Linked DNA regions of Lepisosteus oculatus. The protein of the gene in region 1 purifies or fractionates together with the protein of each later gene. This does not show direct contact. Links are inferred from orthologs where the notes say so. Each region holds a gene or a part of one and is shown in the gene's direction. Other genes may lie near its edges.

Region 1 (7,237 bases):
AGTGGCATTTCCAAACCGGCATATGAATGCTGCTGCAATATTAATCCACGATTAAAATTTAAAGAGCTATTTATTCACCTATTATATGATAAATTTATAACGGGCACTGTGAGAATACGTATTTGAAATGACTGAAATGTCAGTGTTCTAGAGGGCAAAATATATACTGTATTTGCGTTAGGACTACATGGCAAGAAAACAGACAACGCTACGTTTCAGCGATGGGTTTACCTGAAAAGGCAGCATATTGTTGCTGTTGTCTGTTCTGAAGGCGCTGTCGTCCATCCAGGATTTGGGGGTCAGAGGGGCAGCTCTGGGGAACTTCGGCGGGGCAATGACATTGCTAGAGTAAGGTTTTTTCAGCGGGGAGATGGGGTTAAGGGGAGACGGCACCCCGACGCCGACCCCCACCCCAACCCCAACGCCCACTGCTCTCCGCGGGTCCCTGCCTGCCTGGAGCCCGCTCCAGGGGTTGGAGGCTGTGCTCCAAGAGGGATTCTGGTGATTATTCCAAGCGGACGAGGAGGCGGAGGATGAAGGAGCCTTGCTGTTCATAAGGGTCTGGTGGCTGTAAGCATTTCTCTGGGGGAACGGGGCTTGGTTGGGACTTACGGGTGACCTCCTCTGCTGCTGCTGCTGCTGCTGCTGTTGTTGTTGCTGCTGCTGCTGCTGCTGTTGTTGATGCTGATTCTGTGCCAAGCCGATCTGGGGTGAGAATGTGCCCCCGAATACCGGGTTAACGTGGTGGGGGAAATTCTGGAAAAGCATTGTCCCATTCACCGGGGGTATCCCTTGGAAAAAGCTATCGTCCACGGCGTTCGTGGTCCCGGTAGACCAAGTGCTGCCGAAGGAAGGGGACACGGAGGTGCCGCCGGGCTCCTGTGGCTGGTGAAAACTCAACCCCGGCAGGATCGGCGACTCCATCGGCACTTTCTCTTTGCTGCTCTGGGGGGTCGCTGCCTGGCTGATGACAGTCGTCGGGCTCTCCTCCGATTTGGGGGGTTCCGAGGAGGGGGTCGGGGTGGTGGAAGGAGGCTCTACGCTTGCTGGATCCTGCTGCTGCTGTTGAGGCTGGGCTTTGCTTTTGTCCATCAGTAAATCATCCTGCATGGTTTGCTGAGCTGTAACAGGGAAAAACAAAGACGAGTTATTACGGAGGTTCTCATGAGCCACAGTCGCCAGGCTCCTATGGTATTTGGCCAGCAAGAACCCGGGGAGGGGGTAGTTGTTATTATTGCTACCAGTAATGCTGGGACAAGCCGACTGCAAGGCAAATCCGGAATCACCCATTTAGCAGAAACTACGAACTGCCGGTATGATCGCGCTAACTGTATTCTCTCGCATGAAAGACTTATCGGCTTCACCCTTTCAGACGCCTCCGTTCCCCTCAGCAGTGAATGGGAAGATATGCTTGGAGGACACAGATATTCACCAATTTTCGCCACGTCTCTTTTTCCCTTTTCACCGGAACTCCAGACTGCAATGTGAAACTGATTCTTGTTCCTGTTTTTTTCTAGGACCACCCCTAAATTCATTTGCATACGTCAATAAATACAGCTGCGTCCTTCAGCAAGGTTAAAGAGATACACCACCCCCCATTTCACAATCAGGGTATTTAAAGGGACAGGTGACGGATATCTCAATAACGAAAATAATTCAACCTTGCGCTTTTTTTAATTGAAAACAAAACTGTTAGGTCAAATCAAACAGTTGCCTGACACCAAAAACATTGCAGGAAAATAGCTTGGTCATACCAACGTAGTGCTGAGGGAATGAAACTAAAAAGAAAAGATCGAGAATGTGGCGAGAATGAGATAATCGTTATTCTTTGTTAAATAAAAAAATGAGATGGCTCCACAATAGGCACATTTGAATGACGTGGTTTTGTCAAGAAGAGCACAGAGCTTGTTTAGATCTCGGATGAAATATTTACCCTATGCAAAAATACTGATTAGAAATGCTTACATAATCAGGCCTAAGGAGAATGGTTATTTCGTATCCCAGCTCTTATCCTTGTATTCCTCCTCAATGAAAGGGGTGGGGATGGGATTCAGGGAGTTGCATTTAAAAATATTAGCAATTCGATTTAATTTCCCCAAGTTTTCTTCTCTTGAAATCCCAATAAATTATTTGTTTTTTTTAAAAAAAACAATGGTTACTCCCATTTCATTATCTTTCCTGGTAAAACATGAGTTCCGAAGCCATGAATTTTCAAGATCTAATTAACGTAGATACTTTAGTGACACCCGCAATTTAACCCCTTCCTAAATATGAAGGGGAACATGAGCTATAGCTCACATTCCCACATTATTAAGACTATTATTAGATTGCACTATTTGGCACATATATCGAAAGCAAGTAAACATTCCCCTAAACTAAAGTCACTTGTACTATATTTGTAAGGGTTTTTTATTGACGTTGTTGCAAATTAAATGACAGAAAAATAATTCAATATATTGTTTTAGTTAGAGATGATCTTCAAGTCGTTGGGGGTATTTTCTAAGAAAGGCAAGGCAAATCGCTGCGATTAAAATTAGACCTCACTGATCTCTCGAGCAACTGCAGCAAATGGTTAACCCAGACGTCAAACTAGACGGAAATTCTTATCTACTTTGCATATTTAAAATGTAATCCCGAAGGTTATGAAAATATTCATTATAAAAATAAATGACACCGTGCTTAACAAGCAATAAAATCGCTCGTGAACAGTATGAATTGTGTTGTATTGAGTTCTCTAGTGGTTTATAAACTAGTAAAATAAATACTGAGCCGGAAAAAAAATTACGTTATAATTATGTAAAAATGCGTTATGTTATCGATTTTCGTCGGTTGCATTTCACAGAAAACATTAAACAATTTCATATACAAACTGGTAAACATCGTACAGCTCGCTTCTCCATAGCTAATCCTTGTTTTTCCTGTCGCTACAGCAGCCAAACCAAGGTCACCAAACGTTTTGAAAGTAAAACAGCAATGGGATCTTTATACAAACTTATTTACAATAAGTACACTCTTTGTAAGAAGCCGCACACAGACATTATTAGAAATACAATACACAATCTATACGTATACAGAACACGTAGATATATCTTCATTTTCAGTTTTTTTTTAAATCCGGCATTCAACTGATGTTTTTTTGCTTTAAAAAACATCGTTGACTGTCATGCACTGCGTGGTACTTCTACAGTTTTCAAGAAACGAGGCTTTACCTTTTTCGTTCACCTTTTGGGGTTCTGTAAATAGGGCTATTTCTGTTAGCCTCGGCTGGGCTTGGAAATGACAAATGAGCTGCTGCCGAGGTAGAGTCAGCAGTAGCTCTAACAGCTGATTGACTCGGCGGCGCATGGGTGAGACTGAAGAGATTGTAGGGATTTGTAGTCCTCTGTTGCGCTGCGGTAGTATCTACGACTTGTTAAGTTGTATGAGCGAGAAAGTGAGCTTGATTATCACGGTTCTAGTATTACTATTGTCCCTACTTGGATTTATGTTGTCCAGCTTTTACAAGTTTTAAGTTACGTCAAGAGTGTATTTAAAGTATCTTAAGTGTATATAGGCTAAGGCTGAGGGGTTCGGTCTGCAAACCTCTTACTGTAATTCAAAAACGTCCCCGAGACTCAGAGATAAAACCAATTGATGTTAACGTTTTTTAAAATCATTTGACATGCAGTAACGACACACCCGATTTATTCGTTAGGTTTTTGTGTTCGTGAATGTTATTAGACGAAATAGAACATAGCAATTACTTGATAGCTGCAAAAGGAAGAGATGCGCAGTAGAAATACGTGACTGTGTTTTCAGTGAGACTGGAAGAGTCACGGGACACTCCGATGACCGGGAAAAATAGCATGATTTTTTTAAGTGAACAAATTTCTATATTAATACATACGTTGCACTGAAATCCCCGCAAACTGCACACAAGAAATCAAGTAATTAAGTTATCGACAAGCAACGACAAGGTGATTGTTATGACAATTGTTATCATCTATAAAAAGAAGGCAGTGCCCTACCAAAATAAGACGTATTCTGAAGCCATATGTGTATCTTCATGCTTCTTGTCATCCCAAGCAGGCGTCGAGCCTCCGGGCAGACACGAGATAGAGCATAAATTTGTGTAAATTAACACGATGTAAAACGATAGGAAATCGGACTACATATCCCAAGCTCCCAGCGAGTGTGCCATTTTCCGGAGGTTGCTCCGGCAGCTTGTTATTATTGGTGACGCAGTGCGCATCGCTGTCGTCCCCTTGTTACGTCACAGAGGTTGGCAGTCAATGGAGTCAAGCAGTTACAACGACGTGATTACATTCATAACAAAACAAAGTATCATTCGGCAGGGCCACAATCTGGATGTGGGAATTAGTTCTTTGGGATGATAGATGGTCCTTTTTTTAGTAGTCGTTATTTTTTGCAACTGAAGATTTTTTTTAGCGTTGGAGTTTTGATCGCGTCCGTGTGCTTGATTTAAGCCTTGCGCTGGCAAAGGCCCCGTTTTTTTTGTGATAGAGACATTACGGGCCTCTATTCAGTATTAGGTGTTGTAGAGGAAGAGTGGTTTTTAAAAATTGATACCGACATGGCAGACCAGAATTCTGCGGTCGTGCAACAGAGTTTCGACAGGTGGGTAAAAACATGCATGGTTTATTTAATAACCTGTGGCTGCATGCTCCGAGAAGCCTTCGGGATGCATTCCTGAGCTGTTTCACAAGGTTTAAGTCATTCACATTACAAACCTCACTGATCTGCAGCTTAGAGGTCAGGAATAAGGAATTGCAATTGGCAGTTGAACACAATAAACTATAATTCTGAGTCCTAAAGACCTGTGCATGTGGATAAAAAGGGGTCGACGCTTTCCTGGGCAGTAGAAATATGGAAGTGCTCCGTATTTCGTTCCTTCTTCTAAGCTCCTGTCGGAAACAAATGAGGTAGTTGATAAGTTTGTTGCACGATTTCTCACCGCTTTACAGGCTGTATGGTGTGGTTCGGGAATGGCATCCCTGAGTTATAACGCGTGTTTCCAAAGGCGTCCTGGACATATACTGTGGGTTGGAGCAGCTTTAGCAAGGATGTCTAATCCTGGTCCTGCAAGGGTCTGGTGTCTGTTAGGTCTGCAAGGTCCCTTGAAAACAGCTGCACCCGAAAAGCTGGGGAAGCTGTTAAATTGGTCGAGTTAAGCCAGTTACTAAGCTAAACTGTTTAGTAGTAGTAGGTTTATTCCATGCTGAAAAGAGAAGAAATACAAAAACAGCTGAAACGTTGTTTTCTTTCTTCTCTTTTCAGCATGGAATAAACTTATTACTTGTTCCTTTGCAGCCTACGCATGCTGACGCAGCTCCCCACCTAGACTGTTTAAAGCCGAACTTGCATTATTAACCCCGGAGGCAAAATCTGCTCTACCATTTGCTACGGAATCTTAAAGTATGGGGTCATCTGTCCAGTACGAGCATGTCTGACAGATCTCACTGCTCTGGTACTCTGGTACCATCATGCTCAGTGTGGTACCTGTCATCAGTGCTCATCATGATGGTAGGGCCATCATGCTAAGTGTGGATACCTGTGATGATCAGTTCTTTCTATGCTCAATGCTGTTTCCACCATAAAAAAGTCTTGTAGAGATTGAAAATGATTGTGCGCATCATAAGTGACCTTACAAGTATTCTATATTCTGCTTTTTCATTGCCGAGAACAAAGCAGTTTAGTCGCTTCATAATCCAAGAGAATCGTGTACAGAGTCTATAGTAGTGTAGACCATAATTTATTTGAAATAAGCACCTAGTTGCTGTCTAGGGCCCAGAAGATCTTTGTTGATGTTGCAAAGTGGTTTTGCTTCACTGTAAGGACCAGTTGCTATTGTCCTTTGTTGCTGTAGTTCAATATGGATGATCTTGCACATGTCTACAGTTTTGTGAACTCTTTTTGAATCACACCAAATGTTTCTGTCATGCTGGATAATGTCAAAGAACTTTTATTAGGACCTGTCATGCTGGTTGCTCTTTAGTTTCCAGGAATTGACAACCTTTTTCTCAGTCTGGTCTCCCACATTACCCATTTTACCTTGTAATCAATGGCCTCAGTAGGGCCTAGTGTATGGTATACTGGTCATATAATATTTTCAGGAGTAGCACTGTGTGTTGCTGGAAATAAGATGTGACTTATGTTAAAGTTTTCTGTTCTACTTGTAGATTACTGATTTCTACTCTTTAAGAGTTTGCAAGGATACTTTTACTTGATTTAAATGTAATTAGTCTAAATCTTCTTGCTGGTTATGTTGACATTGAAAGTGGTGTCATTACAATTATTCTTTTAGGGGTTCAAGCTTCAAAGTTTGTATACTTGTACCAGTTTAGTACTGACGAGTGTTGTATACATATCACTCATGGAGTATGGTACAGGGATTGAACTTTGTATCAGGCAGTACAAAGTTAAAATGATTTGATTGGCCTTTGTAGAATTCAGGAGTTGTTTACATTTCCATCATGCTAAGACCTTCATTGATTTCTTGAAAAATACTACATAGTACGTTACAATTATGAAGGTTATTGTCATATGTCTGAGATTAGGTACACTAAAATAAATCTATAACATTTTCCTATTTTAAAATCATTTTAAATCTAGTGAAAATGATCCAAAGCAACTTGTATCAACTGCAGATTCATATACTTGTGAAAATCTATATTTCCTGTGTAGCAAAATGGAATATATCAACCGTTTTGTATTGAGGAAATTAGAATTGGTAATTGGCGTTATCTGTTTTGAGGTTTTCACCTTAGACATGAATATTCATTTATATTTTTGGCATCTATGTTTGGAGGTCAAGATTTTAAGAAAAGTGGCATGGTTATCTACTTCCAATTCTGAAATATTTTCTTTCAGAAATAATTTCTTCTTCTCTCACCTCTAGTTTCTTGGTTATTGCAGTTCTGTGCAAATCAGCTGCAGGAATACCAATAAAAGCAAGGCCTTCGATTTCTACCCTGGACACAATTCTAACATATTTTTGATTTTAACTACAGTGCCCTCCATATTTATTCATATTTCTCCTGACATAGAATCAGAAACATAATCTAGCAGAATGGGTTATGGATTGGATAATGTCTCACTTCTGTACTGTAATCATAATGCATTGCACATGCAAAGTCATATTTATCGTAAAGAATTGAATGCCAGAGAACAAGAGGGAACATGAATTTCATGGTTAAGGTCAGAGAGAGCTCTTCGAAGACAGCAGACTCCGCAAGAT
Region 2 (7,746 bases), on another chromosome or scaffold:
TGCCCCAGGGCCGGGCGACTGGCCCTCGCCGTGCTCAGGCCAGGTGAGGGAAGAACACGAAACGACGAAAGACGAATGGGGGGCCGAGCAGTCTGGGGCGGCGGGGGAGAGGACTTCTCCGGAAGAGCCGGAGAAGGCAGAGAGAGTGGTTACCCTACCTGGTGAAGCGTCTGCGCGCGCACTGCAGCGTGATCTGGACCGGGACTCCGCAGGACCCCCTGCGCGACGCCGGCTGGAGAGACATGTCCGCTCCCGGCTGGGACATGGCAACGCGGACCCCGGCCCTGCCGCGGCGGAGCACACACACACACGCTACCGCCCGGATGAAGTGCGTCGCAGAGGCGTGGAGCCTCTGACGGGAGGATTGCAGGTGCGGCTCGCACCCTGTCCCTCACCTGGGCCTGGCTGCCGCGGCAACCGCCCGGGTTCCTATAGGAACGCCAACAGACGAGCCAGCTAACGATGCCCCGTGGGCTGTTACAGGCCCGGAGGGAGACTCCTTTCCTCAAGACGTGCGTGTCCTGTGCTCCATGTTTACGAGGGATTAGCTCCTGCTGCGTGCGAGGAGGAGAAGGGAACGAGAGGGACCACTGCACTGCCCCCCCACCGGGGGGACGCTGTTCAAAAACACAGCACACGGGCAGAGGACGGGCTCCTCCGGTCTGCGCCTTGGACAGAGCCGGCGACCAGGCGACCAGGCACAAGCCTTCAACAAGCTCAACCCCGCAAACGTCTCCGATGAGCAGAGCGACATGAACCGGAAGACTCTGGTGGAAACTACTCGAAGGTGTACTTCAAGCTGAGAGGCAGAGGTGTGGGAGTGTGGAACAAGCTGCTCGGCCATGTTGTTCAAGACGGTACCCTGGCCTCTTCCAAGAAACAGCTGGATGAGATCCTCCGATCACCAACATACTGACTACCAAACGGTTAGATGGGCCGAAAGCCTTTGTCCCGTTTCCTATGTTCAGAACAGAAGGTTAATTAATCTCCACAATAGGTGATGCAGCTACCAGACGAATCGGGCATAATGTGTGCAAAAGGTTACAACTCCCTCAGATATTCCGGCTCAGACTGAAATTTCAGATTCTGCAGCAAAAGCAAACTGCATACCAACAGTAAAATACTCGAGTGGAAGAGACGTAATTTTGTTTCCATTTTTGTCCTGAAATCTTTGCTTTGCCCGACAGTTAGAGAGGGTTTATGGGTTAAAACAGCAACAGGGTCTAATGTACCTATTAACTCAGATCCCAGGCAATAACGCTCTTTCTATCCTGTCCTTTCACTTCATACCCAACCACGAACTTCATTCCTGCTTTCAGCAACCGCCTAACGATCTGTTTGTCACGCTGAGGTTCTTCATGTCAAGGTGTTGAAGCTGGTCAAGACACATCACCACCTTCCCCTGGCGCTCAAATCTCTCTTAACTGCTCGCAGAGAGCGCAGGAGAGGCAAAACCAGCGAACGTACTGTAACTGTCGAGGGTTTTTAGTTCACCGGCACACGCGAAGCGCAACGCAACGTCTTCCGCAGCAGTTGAAAGAGAACTGATGCATGCATACAGATTTTAAGATCCTTCCAGCTGCCTACAGTTAGTGCCTTCGTTCTTGTCACTGCGTGCTTCATGATAAGACAAAGCAAACAACATAACTGTGACATTTCTCGGACATGGACGGAACTGGGCGCAGCACTATCTTTCCAGCCCTGTCAGCAACCGGCACACTTACATGGGCAGTGTCATCGGCGCTGCTGTGGAGGACTTCAGCCCAGGCGATCTCTCTCGGTTTTTTCAAGGTTCCAGCGAACTTAGTCCTGTTTCTCCCATTTCCCGGGCTTCGATCTCCCAAACCGCCAGGGCTTCAGCAGACTGGAGTTTCAAATCCAACTTTCACCCTGACAATATCCCTCTGTTTAATAATGCATGAAATGTGTTTGTGCAGGTGCTGCTCGCAGGGGGAAAAAAGATATCAAAATAACAGAAGGGCACGCAGACCTTTGCTGTACATGCAGATTTTACGAAGATATATCAGTTTTTGCTGCCGTAGGCAGGAGTGATGTAAAAGCTGTGTGCTGCAGAATCGGACTGCTGTGTGTCCCCAGATGGGTATCACCGCCTGCACATGTATAAAGATGGAAAAAGCCAACTGGGTTATTGAAGAAGCATTAACATGTCCCTAATATTTTAAAGTGTAAAACTTGATCTATAATCTGTAGCTTCCAACATCTCTTGTGAAGGCGCTAACAGGCAGGCTCTGATTAAAAAAAAAACATCGATTCGCATCTGTCCCAAGGCCGCCGAGAACAAAAGGCAGTGACTTTCTTCCTCGTTCTTTTACAGATGTGTTATTTCGGGGAAATAACAGGCCTAATAAAGTGATGTTATGTTAATAAAGTGGTGTCATCCACCTGAGAAGACTTGAAAAGACATAGAGGAAACATCAATTTTTTCCCCCGGCAAACTCATCCTCTCCGTTTTCATCTGCCAGATGTGGGACAGCTGATATCGTTTGAACTGCAACATGCGATTGAGTGAAACATTCCCAAGCACCTGGCGAGCCCGTGCCCTGGACCTCGGGACTGTAGAGCAAAGAACCGGTTCGTATCCGGCCCTGCTGGGCGCTGTGGCCAGACTCCTCTAAAGAGCGGAGCTGGGGAAGGGACCCGCGACACATCTTCCATTGCAGGGCCTGCAGTGATCGGTACACACGGAGAACAGCCGAGGTTTGGCTCCGAGTACCGCTCTTCGTAGCAGAGTCCGTTTTAAGCGACTCACAGCTGTAAAAAAGGTGCATGCCTGCAGGACGGTTTTCTCCGGACAGTGCCTTATCGTTCCGCTTGAGGCCACACGGGCACCTTTTCAAACAGGGAAACACGATTGTGAAGAACGTCACGAAGAAGGAGTGATGAACTGTGAATAACTTCTCCCTTCATTTTCTCAAGATGCTTGCTGTTCCCGCCTGACAGCGATCTGTGACATGGGCGCTCTTGCTCAGAACCAGACGGACCAGGGCAGGAGTACACCCTCCTGGACTGAGCCCAGTCCGCTACAGCGCTCACGCAGGGACCATTTAGGGACAGCGCTGTACCGCACCAGTGTCTTTGAAAGAAAGAGAGGAGAAGACCCAAACGAACAGGGAAAGAACATGCAAACTCTGCACAGAAGACCGGATTCACACAGAGGACCCAAGGGCTGAGGGCAGCGCCGCCCCGGCCAGTGAGACACCGTTCTGTGGGTTGTATTAATGTAATATGACTTTAACCTGTGTTTACGTTGTAATATCAGAGTCTAGCGCGGATGGGCAGTTCAAGGATCGGTGAGCAAATACTACGATTTTCTTGTTAACTGCAATATCACTCTGAAAAAGCGCTCTGTGGCGATACGGGCCCACCCGTGCAACTCACTTTATTGGTTGAAAACCGATTCCGGTCTTTGAAAGATTGTTTTTAAAGCTGCGAATGGTGGTTCACAATATTTTTGGCTCACTAACCCCTCTTGTCGAGGTGAATTTCGGCGCCCAAGGTCAGGGTAATGACATTTAAACGTAAGCATCTCGTTGCACTTGTGCATATGACAAATAAACTGAACTGAGCTGAACACTGCAGCGCTTCACAGCGCCGGCGGGGTCGCTAGAAGAAGCAGTGACACGCTGCGCCCGCCAGGGGGGGGGCATGCCTCTGGTGCTTTGAGCTCTTGTCCCTCCCGCCCCGGACGGTTTACGCCTTGCGCTCTTGTTTCCCTCCCGGACGGTTAACGCGGTGCGCCCGTGAGCTCGACCCCGCAGTCACGCCTCCCCGGCCGGGCCGAGTTCTGACCGAGCAGCGGAGCGGAGCGACCTGTCCGGCTCGACAACACCGCACTGGCCGCGGAGTATGAGCAGCCGCAGCTGCCTGTGAGGAGGCCCGGAGATCAGGATAGACGAAGGGAGGCGGAATCTCAGCTCTGTCAGGTATAGCAGGAGCTATGTTGCGGTTTTCTGCAGTTCCGAACAGTGATGAGAATGTGAGGAGACACTGCGCACAGATACGGTGGCAGTTTCATGGCGAGGAGGGTGTTTAGGTGCATAAAACTGGCTGGCTGTCACCATTTGAAGATCCTGTAGCCCGGTTTAGTTTTTTTATTGCTTCCAGGCAGTTTTGTTAACAGGAATACGGTTTCGTTTCGTTTCGTTTCGGGCGTGCGGTCTTGTTTCAGTTTTAAATCTTCAACTGGGTAGTTTTAAAGTTCCAGTACTGATAATACCGGAGCGGTTCCAAGGTAAGAAATCTAAACAAAACACAGGCCTCTGTGTCTTTCTTGTTAATCTCCTGTTTATGAAGCTTGTGTCTGACCAAGGCGTCCGGCCCCAGTCGAGACAGGGAGAGAATTCAGGAAAGGGGAATAAATTAGTCTGGGATACTTGCCGGGTCATTAATTAGCGCTACATGAAGGAATGAGGGATATTCTGAAAAATTAAGCCTTGCTTTGCACAGCCAGGTTTTCCCGCGAGTTGTCTATTTTTCCCCAAGTCTGCATAATCATTCGGTTCTGAAATTCTTTAACTATCGGGATAAAGATATCATTGGGTCTGAACCGAGCAATGTCTGCAACTTTTCCAGTGTGACGTAGGACAGGTGAAGCGCTGTCGTCACGTACATCGCCTACCTCATACTAGAAGACTTGTGTGATAGCACCAGTTTCAACACTTCAAACTGACGCTTTTTTGCCTTTAAGTGTCTGATAACCACAAGCTATGCTTTAAAAATAGCTGTATAATATATATTCTTTAAATGTTATTCATGATGACTTTTAAAGACCCAGAGACCATGATTGCTACAGTATTAAAAATAAGCAAGGTAATTTTTTTCATTTTTTTCTTACTACGTGCTAGGGACATCTAAAACTGGCCATTGAAAACGCTCCTTTTCTGTTTTATAATATCTGCTTTGTGATTTTCCTGCTTGTGAAGTGTAAACAGAAACAAGGTACTAAAATAGATGGGGATTAGCCAGCTGTTCCCTTTGCAGTGCAGACGTCACTCGGTCAGGTCAGGGGTGCTATTTCTGTGCTCGTCTGGTACTGGGGAAGGATGCACAGTATTATTGAACCCCAAGATTATCAACTTTATTTGCTTTAGTATTCTAACCTTCTGTAAGTTTGAGAGACAGACTTGGAAAGAGATACTACACAGAAGCGAAACTAAAACCTTTTCCCCCGCAGTCTGCTCAAGTGGTGTGTGAGATGGGTGGGGCTGTAAAGAGTGTGTTTCCCAGTGCTCTTCTGTGTTTACACACTCTCACAGGGTGTGTGTGTGTGTGTGTGTGTGTGTGTGTGTGTGACCTTACTTATGCATCCTAGGAGATAAGCCAGTGTCACGAGGTCACCCACAAACCAGAGCTTAACATTACCTGTCCAGATCTCTGTATGGCACAGAATTCTCTAGTTTTCTCATGGGTCTGTTCCTGCTGTAGCAGTGCAGTCATGTTTCTTGCACAATTAATGTACAATTATGAGCAATTCTCTGACTCTTTGTGCTTGTGGAGTCCCAAATCATTCCGACCAAATAGCAATAGTTAATGGCCTCTTACAATTTTTTTAAAGTGAGAAACATGATCCAATCTATAAGCTTGTTGCAGACTCTCTCACCCCTTTGGGTAAATAAGGACCTCCTGTTCTCAGTTTTAGACGCACTATGGTGCGTCGTCCACCTGTGTTCTCTGATTTGTGTTTCCATGGTTATCCTGAAAGAAATCCACAGGCTTGACTCAGTAAGTGATTTTAAATACTTGAATCAGGTCGCTTGATAGTCTTCTCTGTTCAAGATCAAAAAGGTTCAGTTCCTGTCGGTGTGGGATACTCCCTTCAGACCAAAGAGACTCAGTTCCTCCAGCCTGTCAGTGCAGGACACTCCCTTCAGACTAAAGAGACTCAGTTCCTCCAGCCTGTTAGTGTGGGACACTCCCTTCCAACTAGAGAGACTTAGTCTGTTTGCCTGTTATTGTGGGACACAGCTGTGATGTCCACAGTCCCTCACGTAGTGTCGAACTGGCTGCTTTTCAGGACAGCAGCATGGAGCAAGGAGACCAGTCCCCCCTGAAGCACTTTGTGCTGGCGAAGAGGAAGATCAGCTCCATCTTCCAGCAGCTGCTGGATTATGTCAACGAAGGAGCGGCATTCCTGGAAGGTAAGGGAAGAGGACCGCAGGAGTCGGGATCTTGGCCGTGCTGCAGGTGCTGGAGTTTGCGTCCATCCCGGCGCTAAACCAATCGCTGGGCGCGCGAGTGCGCCGCCACAGCAGGGCCGTCCTCGTTGGCTACAAACCTTAGAGCTGGGCGGGGAGGCGGGAGGAGAGACGTGAGACGTGCCTGAAGCTTTTCGGTCTGCTCCTGCCAGAAACCTGCCGGACCGAGGAGCTGGAGCAGATCGCCACGGCGGAGCAGCGGGCGCGGATCCAGGCGGACACTGAGAAGATCGCCGTGATCAGCGAGGTCCTGGCCCGGAGGCACATGAAGGTGGCCTTCTTCGGCAGGTACAGGCGCCGCGCCGCTGTTCCTCCGCGTGCCCCCCCCCCCCCCCCCCGAGTGCGGAGGCCGCCGGCGCCCGCCGGCGCCCGCCTGACCCCCCGCGGCTTCGTTTCCTTTCCCAGAACCAGCAACGGGAAGAGCACGGTGATCAACGCCATGCTGCGCGACCGCGTGCTGCCCAGCGGCATCGGCCACACCACCAACTGCTTCCTCAGCGTGGAGGGCACAGACGGGGACAAGGCCTACCTCAAGACCGAGGGCTCGGAGGAGGAGCAGAGCGTCAAGGTGCGGCAGCCCGAGTGTCCGGGAGCTGGCGCTGAGGGCGTTCCCAGCCCTGCTGCCCCTGTACCCTCGGAAAAGCACGTCGGTGTCAGCCGGGGCCTTGTGGGAGCCTGCGAGGTTTTGAAAGGCGGCGCTGTCCTGCGCACAGTGGTACCGGGTTCCCCCCTCCCCCCCAGCTGCCACACGGCAGAAGTCAGGGGTCACTCCGGGGCCCCCTCAGGGGAACTGGGCACGGGCGTCGTGGTGCGCTGCTCCGCAAGAGTTGAGAAGCTCGGAAAAGGCCCTGCCTGGCTTAAGAGCTTGAGGAGGGTTGATATTATTCTGGCAAGCGGTGCAAGCAGTGTGATTCCGCCCGGCACTCCGGTGCAGTCCTGGGAGGTGGGAGAGGTGCTTTGAGCCCGAAGGGGGATATAAATTTGGGATCAGAGGCTGTCCTGTCGGGGCAGGGTACGTCACCACCTGATGTTGGTTGGCTTCATCTGGCACAGTTGATGCCTGGAGTGACTTTATTTTGTACTGAAATCACGATGGATGTAACCGAGGCCTGTCTGTGTTCTGCTCAGTCCTGTGAGTGCTTTATATGAACTTAAGTAACAGGATTTAAAAAAAAAAGTGTTCAGCATCCCTTTGTCTGCCCCCCGCTCCCCGCTCCCTCCCTGTCGCCAGCAGACCGTGAACCAGCTCGCCCACGCCCTGCACATGGACAAGAGCCTGGACTGCGGCTGCCTGGTGAAGGTCTTCTGGCCCAAGGCGAAGTGTGCCCTTCTGAGGGACGACCTGGTGCTGGTGGACAGGTATAGTGCCCGGTCCGAGGCCAGGGCCACTCGCGTCAGGCAAGACTCCCCCTTCCCCTCTCGAGTCTGTTTGCTGAGTGCCTGAACTTGACCACATGTGCCGAGAGCAGAATGAGCCCAGGCCTCTCCTGGCCTGTCATTCCTGTTCAGCTGGTGTGCTAAGAAGAACAAG

Evidence for each region.
Region 2: the proteins of marchf5 (region 1) and mfn1b purify together in Homo sapiens (affinity purification with western blotting; 4 studies listed by BioGRID, with this or other methods). This does not show direct contact. The link is inferred for Lepisosteus oculatus from reciprocal best matches to the Homo sapiens genes MARCHF5 and MFN1.

The regions. Positions count from the first base shown.
Region 1 is NC_090699.1:23,826,693-23,833,929, reverse strand, and holds the start of marchf5 (E3 ubiquitin-protein ligase MARCHF5), read left to right. Parts: upstream 1-4,232; 5' UTR 4,233-4,573; coding exon 4,574-4,617; intron 4,618-7,237. Other genes in the region: cpeb3 (cytoplasmic polyadenylation element-binding protein 3), read right to left, coding at 232-1,121, 3,210-3,345. UniProt on the Homo sapiens protein: Mitochondrial E3 ubiquitin-protein ligase that plays a crucial role in the control of mitochondrial morphology by acting as a positive regulator of mitochondrial fission and as an important regulator of immune response.
Region 2 is NC_090708.1:1,648,600-1,656,345, forward strand, and holds the start of mfn1b (mitofusin-1b), read left to right. Parts: upstream 1-4,740; 5' UTR 4,741-4,764; coding exon 4,765-4,830; intron 4,831-6,034; coding exon 6,035-6,158; intron 6,159-6,367; coding exon 6,368-6,503; intron 6,504-6,620; coding exon 6,621-6,783; intron 6,784-7,449; coding exon 7,450-7,574; intron 7,575-7,746. Other genes in the region: calcium-activated potassium channel subunit beta-3, read right to left, coding at 159-265. UniProt on the Homo sapiens protein: Mitochondrial outer membrane GTPase that mediates mitochondrial clustering and fusion. Membrane clustering requires GTPase activity. It may involve a major rearrangement of the coiled coil domains.